4 linked regions of the Schizosaccharomyces pombe genome follow. The protein of the gene in region 1 binds, or shares a complex with, the protein of each later gene. Each region holds a gene or a part of one and is shown in the gene's direction. Other genes may lie near its edges.

Region 1 (4,461 bases):
CTGCTGCTGACTACTTTGGCGAACAATTGGTTAAGGCTGGTTACAACTATCATGGAAACGAGCCTATGTATAGTGGTATCACAGGACAGGAGATGAAGGCTGATATTTATATTGGAGTTGTCTACTATCAACGTCTTCGCCATATGGTTAGTGATAAATTTCAAGTACGTACAACCGGACCCATTCATAATCTTACTCGTCAACCCGTCAAAGGTCGCAAACGTGCTGGTGGTATTCGTTTCGGTGAAATGGAACGTGATGCTGTTATCGGTCATGGCACATCGTTCTTGATGCAGGATCGTTTAATGAATTGTTCTGATTATGCCCAGAGCTGGGTTTGTCGAGATTGTGGGTCTATTATTTCTATCATGTCTACAATTTCGATGAATGGCGTAGGAAGTGCCTCAGAAGTCAGGTGCAGAAGCTGTGCCAAACCCGCTTTGGGATTGGAAGATACCAGTGACATTTGGCAGGATGGTAGCGGAAAGAAATTTGTCGGCGGCACAAATACTACGTTGATCGCATTACCCAGTGTTTTCAATTACTTGACGGCGGAACTTACTGCTATGAATATTAAAATGATGCTTGAAGTTAAATAGATTAAAGTGTTGAAAAGAGTATTGAAATTAATATATTCGCTTTCAACTTCTTTAAAAAAAATTTTTTTAAAAGGACTGACAAAATGCCATGGGTGATGTGTGTATTTTCAGTTCCATTTGATTCTGTTTTCTTTCGCAACAGGTTTCTGATTTTTGCTTCGGATTACGTTTTGCATATAAAATTACTTATTGTTTTGGGGGAAGAGTTAATAAAAAAACTTATATAGAAAACTATAAAGGTAGGTCTAGGTGGACTAATAATAAATTGATTGATTTTTATCTTTTTGATTAAGAAGCGGCTAAGACATAATTGACAAGAAAAAGTTTATTATTAGATGTCTTTTTGCTTTAAATTGTATTATATATTGGTTAATAGATACTTGATACCAAAGAGTGATCGAATGTTCAAAGAAGCAGATTAATCAGAGGTTGAGATCTGATGCAAATTCGTGAGCACACATTCGTATGGAGAAAAGAGAATTGATATCTTATAATTTTAAGAACAGCTCAACTACAGAAAATCTATGCACTCAATTATAAAAAATACCTATTCGCATGGTTCACATTTAAGAGCAGCATAATGACGAATTACAGAAACCCACGCTAAATTGTATTTTGTGCTTCATTATACTATATTAGATAACCGATATTTAGTATAGTGTGTAAGCTACGCAGTTTGGTATCTGATTTAAGGATACGTAGAACTGCGGTGAGTTTTCCTTGTGATCTATTATATTACAATACACAGGTTGTATGAGTAGCAACTGAGTATAGGTATTGTATTAACTGGGTTATAATGTTACCTATCACTAATATAGCTCATAACTGAACTGAGGAACGAGGTTCGGCTGTAACGCTATTTCGGCAACCGATATTAATAGACTTCATATAACAATAAATATACATTGTTAGTTAACATACTGCATACCGCTATATTGTAAGTCGTAAGAGAAACTCACCGTAATTCTATGTATCGTTAAATATATACCAAACTGCGTAGCTGACTATAGCAAAAAACTCAAAAAATCACTAAATGAATTTGTTTATTAGGAGCATAATAATTATCTTTTCAACTATTGTGGATTTCTTGTACAATTGTTTTTTTTTGTGCTATGAGCCCAATCTTTCATATGAATGCTTATTTTTGAAAACCTAGTTTACTTGACGCGTCTATTAAAAGCTTGAAAATTAGCGACATTCTCGTTGCATGAATGCTTAAAGAATGCACACTTTTCTAAATGAAAGTCTTATTTTTAATTAATTAAACCAACTAAATAAAATAGGAAAGAGTGATGGGTATTTTTAAGAAAAGCCGTTGGCGACCTATTTCATGATCTCAACGATGCGTCTTGTCCAAGTGCCAACGACAACTTTTGCCTGAGAATCTTATCACGTAGACAAACTGTACTGCTGGTAAGATGACTAGCGCATTTTATGGCGGAGATGAAGTTTCAGCTATTGTAATTGATCCTGGAAGCAAATGGACTCGAATAGGTTTTTCTGGAGAAGATATTCCCAAATGCGTACTCCCTAGCTACTGTGGAGAGTTCAGTGATGGCAGACGGTTGTTCGGTGAGGAATACATATATAAATCAAACCCTGGAATGGAAATAAAAAATGCAATTCGTAATGGTTGGGTTGAAAATTGGGATGTTACTGTAGATCTCTGGCGTTATGGATTAGAGCAGCAGTTGAAGACTAATCCTTTAGAGCATCCAATCTTGATTACGGAACCATTTGATAATCCCCCAGAAAATCGAGTGAAAACACTAGAAACGATGTTTGAATCTTTGCGTTGTCCTGCAACATACCTCGCCAAGCAGGAGACGTGTGCGGCGTTTGCAAGCGGGAAAGGTACTGCTTGTTTAGTAGACATTGGTGCGGAGCGTAGCTCGGTGTCTGCTATATATGATGGTTTTGTGCTTCAAAAAGGCTATCAGGTTCAACATTTTTCTGGGAATGCAATTAACGATATTTTGGCGCAAACTCTCAGGGATAAGAATTTCGAAGTGATGCCTAAGTACTTAGTGAAAAGCAAAAATCCAGTGGAGATAGGGCAGCCAGCTAATTGTGAGTTACGTCCTCGTGATACTACAGATTCTTATCATCAATTTCAGGTCCAGCGAGTCTACGATGAATGGAAAGAAGAATGTGCTCTCATTTCCGATGTTCCATTTTCATCTGAAACCACGATTGCTGAATCAGAGTTCGAATTTCCAGACGGTTCCCGTATGATGTTTGGCGCGGAACGCTATCAAATTCCTGAACATTTGTTTGTGCCAGGAAGTGATGAAGAAATGAACGAGGAACCTTCGAAGCCAATAGAACAAACCGAAAATAATGAGGTATCACAACAAGATTCTTCGGTTACCAACACTTCTTCTCGCATTTTGGGGATACCTCAGTTGTTCCAGAACTGTATTTCGGAATGCGATGTTGATATCCGTGCTTCTTTGCTCAACAATGTTATTGTTTGTGGAGGCACTAGTTTGATGCAAGGATTCTCTCTTCGTCTGCAAAATGAACTTTCAAAATTATATCCTGGCAGCCGTCTTAAAATCCATGCTTCCGGTCATGTTGTTGAACGCAGTTATGCTTCATGGTTAGGTGGATCTATTTTAAGTAGTCTTGGAACGTTTCATCAATTATGGATATCACGTCAAGAATATGAAGAACATGGTTCTGATCGTTTGGCTTTAATCGAAAAACGATGTAAATAATACGTGTAATGATAATTACTAATCTCTAATGAACCTTTAATTAAAAGTCGTTGGATTTTAGGGAATTTTCCTTAAGTGGAAAAAAAGGGGAAACTTTCGTTTGAAATAAAAAATAATTGAGATATTATTACTTTACGTATGAGACTCTTTCCCTGTCCTTATACCTATCATTTGAAGAGAAAATATTGGATCATGTATTTTGCTATCATCAATAAGCATCAAAAGTTTTGTTTTTGTAACAGATTGTTACTCTGGACTGGTTCGTTGGCTCTTTGTGATATTCATGCTATTGAATTTGTGTAATCTTCCGCAGATTATACATAAAGCGGATTTTTTTGAGTACGGCCAATACATCGATTGGATTTTATGTTGTAAGCAGAAAAGAAAGTCTTACTGACAAAATCATTTTAAGCTACATTAAAGCTCAATTATTTGAAGCTAAATATGCCTTGCCATTTTTTGGATATGAGTGATAGGTTTTAAATTGTACCCCTTTAGATTCTAATTTCTCATCAATGTGATTGTTTTATTCCCTTAAAGCCCTGTCCGATGAAGCAAGCACATCGTACTGTGTTCTGAATATTACGTGAGAATTGTAATCATTGAATGATATCCTTTCTTTTATTTTGAAATGAAACTTTATCTGGTTTCTATAATTTTAGTAGCAATGATTTGTAAGTTGATAATTTGAAGCTTCGTTAAATCATCTCTTCATTCCATGTGTGACGATGTGAGGAACTCGGTTTAATGATACCTTTAGGGCTCATTCAATCCTTTGAATTAGTATACATTACTTTATGAAACTGAGGTAATCCAAGTAAGTATACGCTTCATTTTAAATCTGTGTGAATGTTTAAATAATAAATTCTTAAAAATTCGCATAGTAGGTTCAACTAATAATTTTGTTATAAAAGATCCATGTTTTATTTACAGTAAAATTTCTACTAAGGAATGCATCATTATGGTCTTATGAAAGACATGTCATTTTCCAACGACTTGTCATCCACAACCATTCAATATAGCTTTAAACAACTATCGAGTGTCGTTGTTAATTATACTAATCCGTTTCTTTTAAACTAAACATAATTAGGAAAATCTGTTTAAGCATATCGTGATAGTTAGTGCTTCTAATCACTATGGAG
Region 2 (6,400 bases), on another chromosome or scaffold:
CCGTCGAAGGTCGAATACCTAAAAGACATATGTTTGAAACTTGCCCAATCACTAGCAACGATATCGGTACCTTGATAGTTGAATTACATCCAAATTGAAATATCAGAGCGGCTTCCAAATCAATTTCATCACAGTTTAATGCGAAATAGCCTTCGGATAAGTAGGCACCAGCATTATCCATCACACTGTAAGCCAATTCGGCAGGCAAATAAATATAAGTTTCACGAGTTTGAAAGTATGCATCAGTGATGATAGAATAATTAGAAAAGAACGTAGAGTTTAAGAACTGCACAGAGTAAATGGAAACGGCGTAATGCGTAAGCTTAGTCTGCTTCAAAGCGACAAACTGTCCCTGGTACTTTGACGTATCCACGGCTCCCAAAAGTAAACTTCCATTACCCTGATTATCCAGATACATACTAAAAGCAGGGTATGCCAATATATCCTCTTTAACTAGTTGTTCCAAAAAGGTTGGTGGTGAAAAACTTGAAATGGAATCCGAATAATCTATTGAATTAATTTCGGTACTGGCAGCTAAACCTAGCACGCCTTTGTACGGCAGCATTGAACTGGGAACATACTCCTTTAATGTGATGCCGAATTGGAAGTCCGGTAAAGCTTGATAATGACTGTAAGAAAGGGAGTCCTGAACATTAATTCCAGCAACTGTAATGTTATCGTCATAGCGGATAAAAAAAGTGCTTGGACTCGTAACAAAATGGAAGCTAGAAGATGCATTCCCAAAATAACAAGAATCACTTTCTTTTTTACAAAGAAAGTATCGCAGTTCATCCGTACTCCACTGAGTACCACTATTCACTATGCCAAGATACGCTGGATTAAACGCCATTACATTGTAGTAAGTCAACCATGTGTACGGCATGTCCAAATCTATAGCTACAGTGTACGAAATACTCGGACGACCGATCGAAAGGGTAGTAGTGTAGTAAGTGTAACTCTGCAAATCTAAAGGAAATGAAGTGATACCAGATGGAGAATAAGTATAGTCACGCTTCTCTAATTGATTTTCCTGGTTGGGAAAAGTTTTCGCAACGAAGTCCAAAGCTAAAACACCATTTCCCGTATATTGTAACGAAGAGACAAGTTTAATGAAGGAGAAAAATATTAAAATCCAAATCCTCATAATCCTTAAATAATTAGAAGAAAATATAGATGCAAGAATGTTTACATAGAGGTAAATTAAAATGACCAAGGTGATTATCAGATAAAAAGAGAAATAAAGAATAAGAATAAAGTAATATGAGAAGAAGAAATAAGAATATGCAAAACGGAACTAAAACAAAAATGCAAAGTAGAATAAAGAGCAGGTGCCGAGTTCTTTTGATGAAAGAATGTTTTAACGAAAGCAACGATGAATTGTTATTATCCCTTGTTATGTTGGGAGCAACAATTTGGCAATCTTGCTTTATAAAGAAAAGAAAATCCACAACAGAAAGTGGAAATAATCCTCAAGGGATGAGCAATAGATGCATGTAAAAACCAAATGCAACGCAAAAATCTAGAAAAACTTGATCATAAATAAGAGTCTTTCACAATTCCTAGCACGTCGTAAAATAATAAATACAAATTGAAAATAAGGGAGAAATAGATCACTTAACGATAGTTTTTTTAGAATGATATGATAGTAGGTTTGGCATGTAGCTCAACTGAATGTATTTTTGAATAATTTAAGTTGAAAGGGAAACGTTTTTAAAGCTTTGAAATATGCCGATAACCTTTATGGTAACGTCTCAACTTTTAAATAGAACAAGCGATTTCTCCGAGCAACAAAAAGACGAAAATAAAAGACAGTCTTATTGCTGTACTTGTAGTTCAAAACTGTGTCCTAGTAGAGTGCTATTTCCTTGTTTTTCTACTTCACCTAATATGGTGGTTGATTGCGGGCTCAAATCCCTTGGGGGGCCTCAACACCATCAGACTAACTTCGTTCACATTAGGTCTGAAAGTATACAGGATCCTTGAGTTCTTTATATCATCATACAATAAATATAAAAGCAAAACTGTGTCTTTTCTAGAATACGATTTGTATGCTTTTTCCAGCGTAATTCCGCTTAAATTGGGATTATGAAACAGGTACGTTTTTACGAGTCTTACGGGCCTTAAAGTGATAATTTTATTGTACTTCGATAACTAATTAATATTTTTAATTAAAAAGAAGGAGACCAAAACCAGTCAAATTGCTTTAGTCGATGGTGAAAAATTATCGATAACAGATTCTTTTGCCTCCCTTTTTACTCTAGACGAAGAAGAAGAAAACGACTCTGTAGACAATGAAGAGATTAAGTTAACAAAAGAGAAACATGAAAAGTTACTTCTTTTATTTTGGTTGCATTGCAAGTTTCCTAATGGATTAGAATGGCTTCATTCATCAAGTGATCTTTTACCAGAGCAAGTTTCTGAGTGGTTTAACTTTTATCAAAAGTATCGTTTTAAAAGGTATGTCTCATTGAGTAACTTTTTGTATTTTCCTCAAATGTACAACTAACATGCAAGGGGGCGAAATTTTAATCTTTCAGCTAGAGAATCTGTAACTCCTATCGTTGAAGAACCGATAGTTCCCGAAGAACCCGATAATTTGGAAGGAGTTTCAGAGGAGACACCTTTAAAAGAAACTTCCCTAGAACTTAGCGAGGAGGAAATTATAACGTCAAAATCTCCCATACCTTCACCTGAAACTATACATAAAAATATTGACGTAGAAGAGAAAGAAACTATTGAACCAACAACACCCGTAAAAGAAGTGGAAACCACTGCTCATGCTGAAGAGGAAAAAGGCCCTTTGACGCCAGATAGCGAGTATGCTGCTCGACAGCTTACCGAAGAACTTGCAAACAAATCCTCTCAAGAAGAAGGAGTCGATAAGCAATTAAGAGTGGTTGAAGCTACCGAAAAGGAACATGAGGAAGATGGGAATGAAGAAAATGTGACCGTTACCAAACCGGTAGAGGTTGCGACTGATCAAGTTGAGTCTAAAGAAGTGAAAAAGAAAGAGGTATCAGAGACAACGGAACCTACGGCTCCCCCTGTCACTGTTGCAGAAGTTTTGGAAATTGAAGATAAAGTCCCAAAGGTTGATGAAGTTGAAGAAGTTCATTCTCCTGAAGCCAAGGTCACTGAAAATGATGTTGAGAATGTACAATCAGGTATTGATATTGAAAAAACTATACAATTATTAAATAATCAAGAGATTCCTTCGGAACAACAAATCATTTCCGTTGACAAGGCCACTGAATCTCCTGTTCAGGAAGTAGCGGTTGATGTCAACGAGAAGCCAGTAGATGAAATTGTTGAGCCTAGTAAATTACAAATGGAAAATAAGTTACCATCGGAAAAATCCCCTACAATTGACAGAACTGGGGTTGAAGCTCCGCTTTTTGAACTTTCTGTATCTATGCCACTAACTTTAATTCCTCCTTCAAAATTTTCTGAACCGGTGAAACCAGAGCTTTCCTCAGAAGCATGGCTGCTTCGAACAGAAATGTCGCCTTTACATTTAAGGTTGAAAAATGCACATAAATATGTTCTATCAGATAACTGGTCTCATGCGTATCGCGAGGAAATTGTACGACAATCACTACATCATTTAACGGTTGCAAAAGAAAAAGGTATTTGGTCCTTTAGACAGCCCAAAAGACAAAACGAGATGCCACGATTGAAAACTCATCGGGATTATGTTTTGGATGAGATGCAATGGATGTCAATTGATTTTTCTCAAGAGCGTAAATGGAAAATTATATTGGCTCATAGAATGGCGAATTGGGTAATGGATTACCATCAAGCTAGTGATAAATGTACTGTTTGTACTCCGGCTTCGTTGTCAAAGAATAAGAAGCCGTACATGCAAGAGAATGAACATCAGAAAGACTCTCACGAGGAAACGTTTAATGAACAAATAGTGAGCCATTTTAATCTAAATGATAATAATAACAACAAAGTGCTCTCTATTCCCAGGGATTCTTTACAGTTTTATAATGCTGTTTTTTCGGATGATATATTTGTGACAACAAACTCCGAACAAATTCAGAACTGCGTTTTAAACGTTCCTATGTACGGTCCTCCTACTGAAAACAATGAATATTGTGAAGAAATATCTGAAAAGTACCCGATCACTCCTGTGTCACGTTTTGCATATGCCAAAACAAAGCTTAAATCCACCTGTGCAAAGGCTTCTAGGAAACGTTTGTTCAACCAATTGGAATTATCACCACCTGAGTCGTTTATGGAAAAGAAGGCGAGAAGCGATGAGAACCAGCTAGATGGAAATAAAATTAAGGATGATAATCAGAAGCTATCCTCAGTAGGAACCTTTAGTGTGCGGCCTCCGTATCCGCCTTCTAGTAAAGATATTCGTCCAGAAGCCCCTTGGTTGCCCGAAGAAGATGAACTCCTTTTATTACTCTTGCGACGATATTCCTTTAATTGGGAATTTGTTGCCAGTAGGTTAACACCACCAGGTTTGTACATACCGCTTGCCGAGAAGCGGACTGCGTGGGATTGTTTTGAAAGATGGATTCAAGTGGATCCCAGAGCCGCCAATGTCCAATTGACTGGCTCCCATGCAAGACTCGCTCAGCAGAAATTAGATGAATCCTTAAGACATTCGGATAAAGTTAGCCAACATCTATCCTTACGGGATGAAGGAACACCTAACCATTTGATTAAACATAATTCTTACTTCTTATTGCCAACTGTATCAAGACATTACCGACCCATTACTATATTTGAAGCTATACGAAAGATCCTTAAAAAGAGAGAGTTTGCTAAAAAACCCACTATGACCAAGAGAGCGATTGCACCATCTGCAGCTTCAACTGAAAAATTGCCGCCGGTTCCTTCCCCTCTCGAACTTTCTCGTTTGAAATCTGAGCGTGAGGCACAAATACAGCAAATACAGGCTCAGAGAAACTTTGCACAATTGCAATCACAAAACAGGGCTCTACGGCCGCAAAACGCCGCTGTTGCTGCTGGTGCACAACAACACAACCAGCAACTAGCAGCCTTTCAAGCTGTAGCTGCTTCACAAAATAGTAGTAACAATTCATCAGCGGGTGTCTCGCCTATAGCTGGTAGAATGGTCCCCAGGCTTCAGCCATACGCTGTTTCCAGTTCTTTAAAACTAACACCTGAACAAATTCATCAGTTGCAGCAAAGGAAGCAAACTGTACCTACTACTGAAAGGACACAGTAAGTATCGCCTCAATGCAATTTTTCGATTTATTGTATTTTTTTTGAGTGCTGTTGTATATTAGAAGGAAATTACGAGGCGAGAGCTTTTTCTCTCACACAATAAAAATAGAATACGTTTTCATTTTCGTATCCCGGTTGTTGGTTTTTTAACAGAATCAAGCAAATCGAGGTAATACGAAGTGTACATGATAAGTGAAGTTTGATTTCATAAACGTTATTTTAGCTAATGAATATGTTTTAATTTTTGAAAGACAGACACCATTCTCGGTAGACAAAAACTCCATGTGATGGGCCTTGTAGAAGCGGGCGACAGTGTCATATAACCTCGTCGTGGGACTTTGTTTAGCTTCTTAGCAGTCTTTGCATTCGTCCGAGTGTTCTGTCCATTAACGGGTAACCTGAAATATTCATTAGTTAAGTTGAAAAAGTTGTCGAAGACAGCTACGTTCACAAATGATCTTTTCATACCCGTTTACATGTCTCATTCCCCGATAGCATCGGATATTCACCAATCTTGAGATATCAGCATTCCGTTGACGCCGTAAGTCACCTTCAATAGTCATTCCTGATAGCAGTTGCGACAACGTTGTCAATTGAACATTTGTCAGCTCTCGAACCCTTAACGTATTGTGAAATGATAATTTTGCGCATATTTCTTCAGCCTTGGCATGTCCAATTCCATAAAAAGAAAGTAGAGCAAACCGCACAGGTTTATCGTCGTTTACAGCCACTCCAAGTATGTATACCATGATGCAAAATCTCAGATATCAACAGATGAGACAGAAACCAGCTCAATAATGAAGTGGACAATTTGGTTTTGTAATTCAGTTCTCTATCAGTAATCAGAGAGCTTAAAACCGTTCTGAATATAAGTATTAGGCTTTCTTGTAAAAGAGTGGAGTGGTGGTGTTTAGATATAATACACAGTTGGATCTCTCATATTTTTAGAAAACTAGTTAGATTGTACAGACTCCGGGCCTAGTAATAAAAGACAATTTGAGTAATCATTAAAGAGCTACTATCTAAGGTGTAATTTGATGTTTAAGAAGACCATAAATAGGGCAAGGTAAGACGAAGAAAAACAAATAAAGAAGAGATATCGTCAAAGGCCTTCCTTTTCTGTTCAAATTTTAAAATTTATGAACTCAAATGATCCCTTCGTTCAATGGTCTCAGTTTAAAATTTATTATTG
Region 3 (3,731 bases), 2.2 Mb from region 1:
AGCAGTACAAGATGTTTGAAGTTAGCTTTACTGATCAAGGCTTAAATTTGAATGACACTGGTACCCTTGAAACTTATAGTAGACTTCTATTGTTTGCTCATCAATGCATTCCTTCTCGTGAAATAACATTTGAAACCACTTCTAAGGACGGAAACCTTCTAAATGCCATTAGAATCTTTTGCCTGTACTTTGATCTCGATTACTATGCTCGCCCGAATGGAGAGGTGTTAAAATTAGTAGTTACTCATCCGAATAAAAAGAATACGAGCGTAAGTCAGTCGCAACCTGCATCTCCAAATTTAAGATTTAATATGCCGGCACCGTTAGCTACTCGATTTTTGCAAGAGCATTCATTGAATGGTACTAAGAGTGCCCCTATAACCCCACCTCCCAGTTTCGCAGTACCATTGACAAACCAACTTCGTTCGATTGACGACAAAATTTATGGAAATGAATCACCGCTTCAAAAGGCTTCTACTTTGAGTTCACCTTTCAATTCAAAAAATGATAATGATGCTTCTACCTCCGCTTCCAAGCAGAGTTTTGGTGTCTCCCACTTTTAGAGTCTATGCAATTATAAAGAAACTGTTTATGTACCTTTTAAGATATGATTTTTGTTTACGCCAACTATAGATGCATTTACTATACGCTATTTGTTTTGACTAAATTTTGCTCTTTATCCCTTTATCACTTACTTCTGATGAATCTAAACTCTATGGGCTTCATTTTGTTGATTTTTTGTTTTCCCTTTCACATAGTTGGTTATCCAGCAAATAATCCTTTTAAATACTTAGAAGCTTATATTTTATCGTTTTGAATTCCCACGACACATTTGGACGACTCGACTTAACAGCAATCAATGATGGATATATGTTGGGTGAGGCATAATGTTTTATGACGATAATCAACGGATGAGCGATGCTCCTATTTTTTTACAAATTATAACGATTTTTCTTGTATAAGAAATTTATGCCCTACCGTATAATATACACATACTTTACATGATTAAATTTAACCTTGGACAAATACATTAGTCTGATATTACAAAATTGAACTTTTATTTTTGTAAATTTAATCATCTTCTTTATGTGGATGTGAATGTTCCTAGCTTAGTATTACCGTACTATGGATATAGAAATAAACCTACGATTTAAAGTCTATTTTCTACCAAGCTTGTAGGGCTTTAAATGAGCTACTTTAAAATTACCTAAAATATCGTTAAATTTTCCTATATAATGCGAATTGATTTATATGTAAAAAAGAAAAAGAAATTGCAAGCATGGTGGACTTTTAGTTCCATTGTTAGTAAGTTGTAATTAAAGGAAGTTACAAAGGATTCACTAAAATAAGAATACTTTATGGGTTATCGCAGCCTTACTCAATTACTGCACTTGAATGTCTATTGAATTTAAGAATGAAGAAAGGATAACACAAAGATGCACGATTCTTTTTGGATGAACTTTTATTTTTTGTTAAGGTTATGAAAAAAGATGAAATACACTTGACCTTGTAATTACTGCAGCTAGAAAAAGAAAATATTATAAAAACCAGTTTCATGAGTTATGGCTGGAAGTACCGCACAACACCATAAATATTGATAATCTGCTATATTGCCGATAATATAAAGTTAAATTAGTAGAAAAAGTAAACTAAGAAACAGAAATTTTCTTATTTTACCCATATAAACCTATGTATTAGAGGATAGCAATTGTATTTATGAGTTCGAGGGGAACAAGATCATCAACTGCTGCCGAGCAGAAAAGGCAGGAGGATGTAAATAAAGAATCAAATATGAATGATTCTGTTACTGAATGGTCTGTTTTAGAGGAAACCTTACTGTTAAAAGCTATTTGTCGTGGATTGCGCCCTGTAGGTAAGTGTTCGAAAGGTTAATTGCTCGGTCTCTTATTTTAAAAGCTGCATGTTATCAAATTATTGCATTCATTCACTAATTAAAAAATAGGAATAGAAAAAAATTTTTATATGATAGGGATTTTACGAGAAATTCGTGATGGCTGCAAAAGATCAACAATTAAGGCTCAGGACGTTTGGAATAAATTAGGAACACTTTATAATTTGAAAGAGTTTGAAGAATTGGTATGTCAAAAAGCCTTTTAATTTTTTGTTTTCAAGTATTTGTTGACAGTTTTTTAAATTAGGAAGCTCCAGGAAATGAAGAAGTTAAGGCGAAAGAAAAACGAATAAAGTCGCCAGATGTTAAAGATTTTAAATTACCAAAAGATATTCTTAAAGTAAAAGAAAAATCCGAGAAACCATTGGAAACATCTCAAAAAGTGGAGATTGAAACGGTAGAAACTAAACCCGGTGAACCCGAAGTTAAGCAGGAGACGAATTTACAGAAAGAGAAGAAGGAAAGTAAAGTCAAGCTTGAATCTAAAGAAGAGAAAATTTCTCGGAATTTACGATCCTCTTCTAGAAGTATTTCTCCTGTTACTGAACAGCCGCAAAGTCCAAAGATTCAGCCTGTTATTCCCGAAAAAAAAGAAAAGTCTGAAAAGAAAGAGAGTTCCATGACTTTGCGAAAAAGATCCGTCTCGCCATCTTCTCAAAATACAGCCCGTTCTCCAAAGCGTATGGCTACTGAGCCCATAGAGCCTGCTTCTTCACCGGCAGCTTCAAACCAAGCTATTCGCCGTAGCTCTCGAAGCCGGAGGCCTCCGACCTAGCTCTTGTTAACAGAAAAACCTAGGATGGGAAAGACTGATTATTTGTACATATCATTTATGCTTGGTCTACTCTAATGAACGGTTATTTATATATGAGACCAAAATTAATTATCACAAGGGATTTATAAAAAGTGAAAAATAAAAAGAATTATGATTTTACTACAACTAATATTTTGTATGTCAAGGAGATTTGTTTTAGCAGAATTATAGGTTTAATGGGATCGACGGCATGTCCAAAACTAATTTGCTTTTGCAGTTTTACTCCTTTTTGATGCTCGATTCACGTAATGGGAAAAGACGAACGGCTTTGTTACAAACAAATTTACTCTGATTTACCGCTACGATTTTTGAATCCCGTCACTTCTTTACTGTTCGTTACGATGTTTTATGTAGCTATATATACTGTTTGATAGCTTGACTTGCTAAAAAAAATCTTCTAACTGTGAGTTTTCAATTTTAATTCGATAGGTCCATATGTTAATGTCGATTTGGTTGGAAATATGTTTTAAAGTATGTTTAACACGCATAGACAGAGAGATTCCAATAGGTAGTATACATATTACTTTCAAATTGATGAGCAAATTGTTTTCAAAACCTTACACAGGTAACGATTTGATCAATGAATTTTTCAATTCCGGTGAAACGGACTTGAGTATTCACATGAGTTAATGTATTATTTATCGGCACATCAGACCATTGCCTAGCAGAGTCTGCCGAATTTAACAACTTTTAAAACACAATAGATCTATAAGTACAGCTCTCTAATAGCAAAGCAAAACTGAGCAACCCGTCATTGCGAAACCTTTAAAAGACATCAAAAATACACAAACGCGCTTGCATTCAGGTACATAAACATGCAGCGGGATCTACTTCATAGAGTTTCGTAGATTCCCTTACTTGAAAGGTTAATATCGTACATAATTTTCATACTGTGAGGCAAAAATCTCATTAATATTTAGTATTCAACAACATAAAAACAATTTTAGCAATTAAACTTGAAACCGTTTAATAAACAATGGAAGTACACTAACAAAGATAATCCTA
Region 4 (6,191 bases), on another chromosome or scaffold:
TGGCACAGCTTCAAGAATTTTCTTTTCGTTTCGAGCAAAACCTTATCGCAAAAATTAAAGACACGGTTAAGCAGTTTGAGGGCATGATGAATCAAACCCATGTCAAAGCTATTAATCACCTCCAAGAAGTTGTTCGCGTATCAGAAGCACAAACCCTTGCTGGCGAGTGGACCGGATACGCAAAGCGTGAGCCGGAATTTATTCATGGCTCTGTTCCCCCCCGCAGCGTTGATGCTATAAAATATCCTGGTAAGAATGACCAACCCACTGTACCTATCATGGCTGGTTATTTAATTCGTAAAACAAGTTTTTTAAAGAAAAAACAAAGAGGTTTTTATGCCTTTACACATTCTGGCTATCTTTACGAATTTAAATCTTCTGATTCACTTCAAGATCCTGAACCCGAATTCGCCCTTTACATACCTGATTGTCTGATCGGTCGCCCTTCTGAGAAGAAACCCAAGTTTAAAATAACTGGCAAGGATGCTACTAAGAAAATTTTTGGCGCGCGAAACGATTACGCGTTTCGCGCTTCTAACAACACCGAACTAATGAGATGGTGGGAAGCGTTGAATACCCATATTGCTAATGTGAACTATATACAACCTTTAAGCAACGCAAATGGTCCATCAGCTGTTTCCGACAGTGATGATGATGATGATGATCCAAATGACTTCCGTCCAGCCGTCGAGCGTCAAAGTTCTACGATGAATACCCGTATGTCGCAACCAAGCTCTGCTGTCAATACAAATCGAAGTTATGGTTCGGAACAAATTCCCTCATACGCAGATAGCCAAGGAAATTCTGGCGCCAACAACAACTTTATTTACAACGCTAGTGCTACTGGTCATAATGCTTGGAATGTATAAAGATTGTATATTCGCAAATTAGGTACGAAATGTGCTCATGTATATTTGTTACACTGCCGTTGTGTTTTAAATGGCAGTCTTTGTAACTCCCCCATACCCGTCTTAATTGTATCTTTTTGATTCCCGTTTAAAGCACTTGAATGTTGATTGTGAACCATTTTACTGTTACTGTAATGAATTCATGATAGTGTTTCTTGATATATAGTGAACTTTTGAAACACCAGTCAACAAATATATAGGTATTATATATAAACTCAGAATAAATACATTTTCTGTTCACCCATACCTGTGGCTGATGACTGTTTCAATCGGGAAAGTTACTTTTTAATGTAGCAGGTTTCATTCCGATATATCTCAACCGCTCGTTTCATGTTTATTAATTTAGCAGCTGGGATGATGGTATATACCTTGTAAATAAAGTGCCTAACATACTTTTATTGGTTTTTGTGAATTAGCTGAGCGCGTTAGTGAAGTAAATTCCCTTAATTATGAAAAGTACTTCTATTATTCCTTATTGGCATTATTCTTTTAATTGGAAACGGAAAACTGAAGAATTGTATTACTGTTTATAGCATTTTCGGTACTTTCTGGACAAATTTCGAATATACTCGTGTTCAAACCCGAGAAAAATATTTTCTAGATTTTTATATTATCAAAGAACACTAATTTTAATTGAGCATTTCAGGATTTTTGAAGTTGATCGTTTAATTTATCACAGCTATCTTGATATGTGTAAAATGAAAGTATTTATTACTCTTTTCATCCTTTCAAAAATTTTATTAATTAATTTACTTTCTATTGGAAACGAAAAGGTTAGCATCGTTTGCTGTAAGCGCAGGTTGAGAATAATTACGTCGATGCTATAATAACGAGCGAAACTCTAACTTTAAAAATCATCTCGCTTAATGAATTTCAAGGTAGCAAAGATTGTAAATTCGTCGAAATTTGCTAAACAATTTAATTTAAAGCAGTAAAGTTCACAAAAAACATACCGACATTTAACGAATCGGTAAAGAAATGTTTTCGAAACTAGCAAAACTCACCACCATGAAAAAAAAATTTTCAGGGTGGCTACACAATTTGTACATGGAATAAGTATCCACTTATTGAGACTCAAGATGTCGAATGATGTTGATGATGAGTCCAAGATTGAAACAAAGTCTTATGAGGCTAAAGACATAGTTTATAAATCCAAAGTCTTTGCATTTAAGGATGGAGAATATCGAAAGGCGGAGATTTTAATGATTCAAAAAAGAACTAGAGGCGTCGTCTACTATGTACACTATAATGACTACAATAAACGTTTAGATGAATGGATTACAATAGATAATATTGATTTATCGAAAGGAATTGAGTATCCACCGCCGGAGAAGCCAAAAAAGGCTCATGGAAAAGGAAAATCCTCAAAACGTCCAAAAGCTGTTGACAGACGACGATCGATTACAGCACCTTCAAAAACTGAGCCTTCGACGCCTTCTACGGAGAAACCTGAACCATCCACCCCTTCTGGAGAAAGTGATCATGGATCAAATGCCGGGAATGAAAGTTTACCGTTATTGGAGGAAGACCACAAGCCCGAAAGTCTTTCAAAAGAACAAGAAGTAGAAAGGTTACGGTTCAGTGGCTCAATGGTTCAAAATCCTCACGAAATAGCTCGAATTCGTAATATAAACAAAATTTGCATAGGAGATCATGAAATTGAACCTTGGTACTTCTCACCGTACCCTAAAGAATTTTCGGAAGTAGATATAGTTTATATTTGCAGTTTTTGTTTCTGCTATTACGGATCTGAGCGACAATTTCAAAGACACCGCGAAAAATGTACATTGCAGCATCCACCCGGAAATGAAATATACCGTGATGACTATATATCCTTTTTTGAAATTGATGGAAGAAAGCAACGTACATGGTGTAGGAATATTTGTCTTTTGTCCAAACTTTTTCTGGATCACAAAATGCTTTACTATGATGTTGATCCCTTTTTGTTTTACTGTATGTGTCGCCGCGATGAATATGGATGTCACTTGGTAGGATATTTCTCAAAAGAAAAAGAGTCCTCCGAAAATTACAACCTTGCTTGTATCTTAACTTTACCTCAATACCAAAGACATGGTTATGGCAAGTTACTCATACAATTTTCTTATGAATTGACCAAGCGTGAGCACAAACACGGCTCACCTGAAAAACCACTTTCTGATTTGGGGTTGATTAGTTATCGAGCGTATTGGGCTGAACAAATCATCAACCTTGTGCTTGGAATGCGAACTGAAACCACTATTGACGAATTAGCCAACAAAACTTCAATGACTACTAATGATGTGCTACATACACTTCAAGCACTAAATATGCTTAAATATTACAAAGGTCAATTTATTATCTGTATTTCAGATGGAATTGAGCAACAATACGAAAGATTGAAGAACAAAAAAAGAAGAAGGATCAATGGAGATTTGTTGGCAGATTGGCAACCTCCTGTTTTTCACCCTTCCCAACTACGATTTGGATGGTAATTCTGTACAAAGAATGGATTAGATGCTGGTCGTCTTTCTTAAAAAAAAAAAAAATTCTCATAATTAAAGTATCTCCTAGATATATATTAATGATACTTAAAGTTTGAAGGAATAGAGACTAATTTGTAACCTTTTATTTCATTTTAGTTACTTTTGTAATTTCGATATTCCTTTGATTAGAAAAGCCTCTGCTATTGCCTTGGTTTTTTCGGCTGCTCCATTTTGCAGGATAGCTGGATATCGTATACTAGCCCACATGTATGCTACTATTAATTTGTGAAGCTGCTCTAGTTGTTGTAACTCGGTTTCAGTGGTTGGAATTCCGCGTTCTAATATTTCCAAAGGTACAGACTTCAAATCATATATTTGCAGACGTTTTCCTTGAGCGATAACACATCCGATTTCCCGAATAAATAGTGGTGCGTATTTAGAATGCTTTAACACTGGGCACCCTAACAATTTGATTTTATCTTTAATGGTTAAACCTTTTATGTGGTCTAAATATTCAATAATGAATGTGCTTAGTGCTCCTTCCGACACAACAAATGGAGTAGTCGTTTTCGCTAACTTAAAGTAACGATCGAAAATTAGCTTTTGAGGAATGTCATCAGAGAATAGTGATAAATATCTAAAGAATAAATCGTCCTTAGCTCCAATACAAGCATTGAATAAGTTCTTTGTAGGAAGATTCATGGCGCGATTTAATTTCGCAAAATCTTTTTGATATAGGGTAGTTACTATTCCAGCACTTTGCTTAGATCCATTGGGATTATGTCGGCCAGCTCTTCCTGCTATCTGCTTAATTTGTGGTACAGGGATGTCTATAGTGGAAACTCCACTAAACTTTTTTAAATCGCTGAAAACAATACGCTTTACGCCTAAGTTGAGACCCATACCAATGGCATCGGAGGCCAGCAAAATATTTTCATCAGAACTCTTTGAATTAAATAAGCTTGCTTGTTGATTACGGACTTCAGGAGGCAGTGAACCATAAATAACGGCAGATTTTTTTCCTAATGCTTGATCAATTTTAGACTTCAAAGTAAAAATGTTTTTCCTTGAAAAAGCCACAACACAATCCCCGTCTTTGAGTTCACTTAACTTTCCATTTAAGCTCTTTTCTGCAACGTGGAGAGGATTTAACCGTTCGTATCTGTAAACAGTAAAATCATCTTGGGTCATTTTAGCAATTGAACGCACTAATTTAACAACACTTTCTTCTCCGCATAAATGAATTTCCTTAGCCTGCAAGCCAAGCAAGCATTGAGTCCAAGCATATCCCCGTGAAGGATCAGCCATCATTTGGATTTCATCAATGACTGCAACATCAAAAGTAGTAGATAAGTTGCACATTTCTACAGTACATGAAACAACCTGAGGGAAAGGATAATCATTTCTAATCTCTTCCCCTGTGTAAAGATTACAAGCTATTCCGTTTGCTTGCAAGCGATTATAGATTTCGTGAGCCAAAAGTCTTAAAGGGCCAGCAAATATACCTTTCTTGCAAGTCTTAAGTCTTTCTAAAGCCCTATGTGTTTTCCCGCTATTCGTTGGGCCGACATGCATAATGATATGCCTTCTGAGTTTTCTCGCTCCTGGATACCACTCAATTGGATTTTTTAAATCTGTTAATTGCTTTTGTAAGTCAGGTCTTGTTTCTTCTATTCGCTCTTGATATCGTACATACTTCCGATACTCTGAGAGTAAACAATCATGGATCTTTTTTATTTTCTGAAGGTCAAAAGTAGAAGAAGATTTTGAAAGAGCCAATGATTTATCAGAGTTTTTTAAGTCAGAAAATCCTAAATCTGTAAGGATATTCTTTTTTAACTCATAATAGTATACATTCTGAAAGACACTGGCATCCTTGCAGACATTGACAAAGTCTTGGGCTAAGTATGCTTGTTTTGACGAAAGTTCTTTGGAAGCAAATAAATATGCAGTGAAGCGATTGAGGGCAGCAGCCCACAAGGTATTTCCTGGGAATTTCCTTTGTTGAAAAACATCCTTTGATAAAGTGTGAATTCTAGCAGACTTGCTAAAAAACGGTACACAAAACGTTACGCCATGAATCAAAGTTTCCAAAAACATTCCTGGCGAGTTAAAATCTTTCTAGCAATGCTCTATTGCTGGCCGCCCTGTAACCAGAGCAAAACTTAATCCAAGTATTTAAAGTAATTTAAAAACAAGAAATGTTTATATAGAAAATTAAATACTTCTCAAACGTCTGAAGGTCCCTGGCTTTATCGCTTTTAAAAATATTACCTTCTATTAATTAAAAAAGGAAAAAAAAAGTAATAATTTGACTACGAGATTCAGTCAAGTTGCCTGCTGAGGCCTCTAATATGTTATACCAACAGCTCTGCATGTATCTCCAAAAAATTAGTATCTCAGCAGTACCCTTTAAATTCCAGTTTTCCGCTTCAGTAAATATATAAAATTTTTTAAAAAGCGTTTATTACCTACACTTGTATTATAACAATTTCACGCATTTGGTGTTGGCTTTCGATTATTTACGCGTGCTGTAAGAAATTAGAGAACCTGTGGATTCGAACAGGAAATGAATTGTGTATCACCATGTTTTTCGATGTTTCATTTTGTGATGCGTTACATATCGTTATCCGAGAATGACTAGAGAAGGTGAGTAGTAATACCTTGTCTAGTTCACTTTGCAACACATCTTCTGTAATCTACCAAGCGTTCTTTCAAATTTCTTCGCATTAAGTTTTAAATTATAGGTCTTCAAGATGGTGTTAGAAGCAACGATGATTCTGTAAGAATTTATTTTTGTTAAATTATTGCTCTAACATGG

What was found.
Region 2: alp5 (region 1) and vid21 share a complex: the UniProt entries of both Schizosaccharomyces pombe proteins name them as parts of the nuA4 histone acetyltransferase complex.
Region 3: alp5 (region 1) and eaf7 share a complex: the UniProt entries of both Schizosaccharomyces pombe proteins name them as parts of the nuA4 histone acetyltransferase complex.
Region 4: alp5 (region 1) and mst1 share a complex: the UniProt entries of both Schizosaccharomyces pombe proteins name them as parts of the nuA4 histone acetyltransferase complex.

What each region holds. Positions count from the first base shown.
Region 1 is NC_003423.3:2,011,045-2,015,505, forward strand, and holds alp5 (Ino80, NuA4 and Swr1 complex actin-like protein Arp4), read left to right. Parts: upstream 1-1,954; 5' UTR 1,955-2,017; coding exon 2,018-3,319; 3' UTR 3,320-3,961; downstream 3,962-4,461. Other genes in the region: DNA-directed RNA polymerase I complex subunit Rpa2, read left to right, coding at 1-599; GINS complex subunit Psf1, read left to right, coding at 4,456-4,461. UniProt on the Schizosaccharomyces pombe protein: Chromatin interaction component of the NuA4 histone acetyltransferase complex which is involved in transcriptional activation of selected genes principally by acetylation of nucleosomal histone H4 and H2A. The NuA4 complex is also involved in DNA repair.
Region 2 is NC_003421.2:979,035-985,434, forward strand, and holds vid21 (NuA4 histone acetyltransferase complex scaffold subunit Vid21/Eaf1), read left to right. Parts: upstream 1-1,936; 5' UTR 1,937-2,085; coding exon 2,086-2,094; intron 2,095-2,111; exon of another isoform or gene 2,112-2,176; coding exon 2,177-2,457; exon of another isoform or gene 2,458-2,514; coding exon 2,515-5,209; 3' UTR 5,210-5,431; coding exon of another isoform or gene 5,432-5,606; 3' UTR 5,607-5,676; downstream 5,677-6,400. Other genes in the region: yapsin Yps1, read right to left, coding at 1-1,144; sws2 (mitochondrial 37S ribosomal protein uS13m), read right to left, coding at 5,432-5,606, 5,677-5,957. UniProt on the Schizosaccharomyces pombe protein: Component of the NuA4 histone acetyltransferase complex which is involved in transcriptional activation of selected genes principally by acetylation of nucleosomal histone H4 and H2A. The NuA4 complex is also involved in DNA repair.
Region 3 is NC_003423.3:4,259,305-4,263,035, reverse strand, and holds eaf7 (NuA4 histone acetyltransferase complex subunit Eaf7), read left to right. Parts: upstream 1-1,574; 5' UTR 1,575-1,716; coding exon 1,717-1,873; exon of another isoform or gene 1,874-1,963; coding exon 1,964-2,097; exon of another isoform or gene 2,098-2,159; coding exon 2,160-2,687; 3' UTR 2,688-3,224; downstream 3,225-3,731. Other genes in the region: RNA-binding protein Cip1, read left to right, coding at 1-563. UniProt on the Schizosaccharomyces pombe protein: Component of the NuA4 histone acetyltransferase complex which is involved in transcriptional activation of selected genes principally by acetylation of nucleosomal histone H4 and H2A. The NuA4 complex is also involved in DNA repair.
Region 4 is NC_003424.3:4,558,572-4,564,762, reverse strand, and holds mst1 (histone acetyltransferase, KAT5 family Mst1), read left to right. Parts: upstream 1-1,933; 5' UTR 1,934-1,987; coding exon 1,988-3,379; 3' UTR 3,380-3,526; coding exon of another isoform or gene 3,527-5,470; 3' UTR 5,471-5,662; downstream 5,663-6,191. Other genes in the region: slm1 (cytoskeletal signaling protein), read left to right, coding at 1-869; ATP-dependent RNA helicase Rpm2, read right to left, coding at 3,527-5,470; 19S proteasome regulatory subunit Rpn10, read left to right, coding at 6,127-6,152. UniProt on the Schizosaccharomyces pombe protein: Catalytic component of the NuA4 histone acetyltransferase (HAT) complex which is involved in epigenetic transcriptional activation of selected genes principally by acetylation of nucleosomal histones H4, H3, H2B, H2A and H2A variant H2A.Z.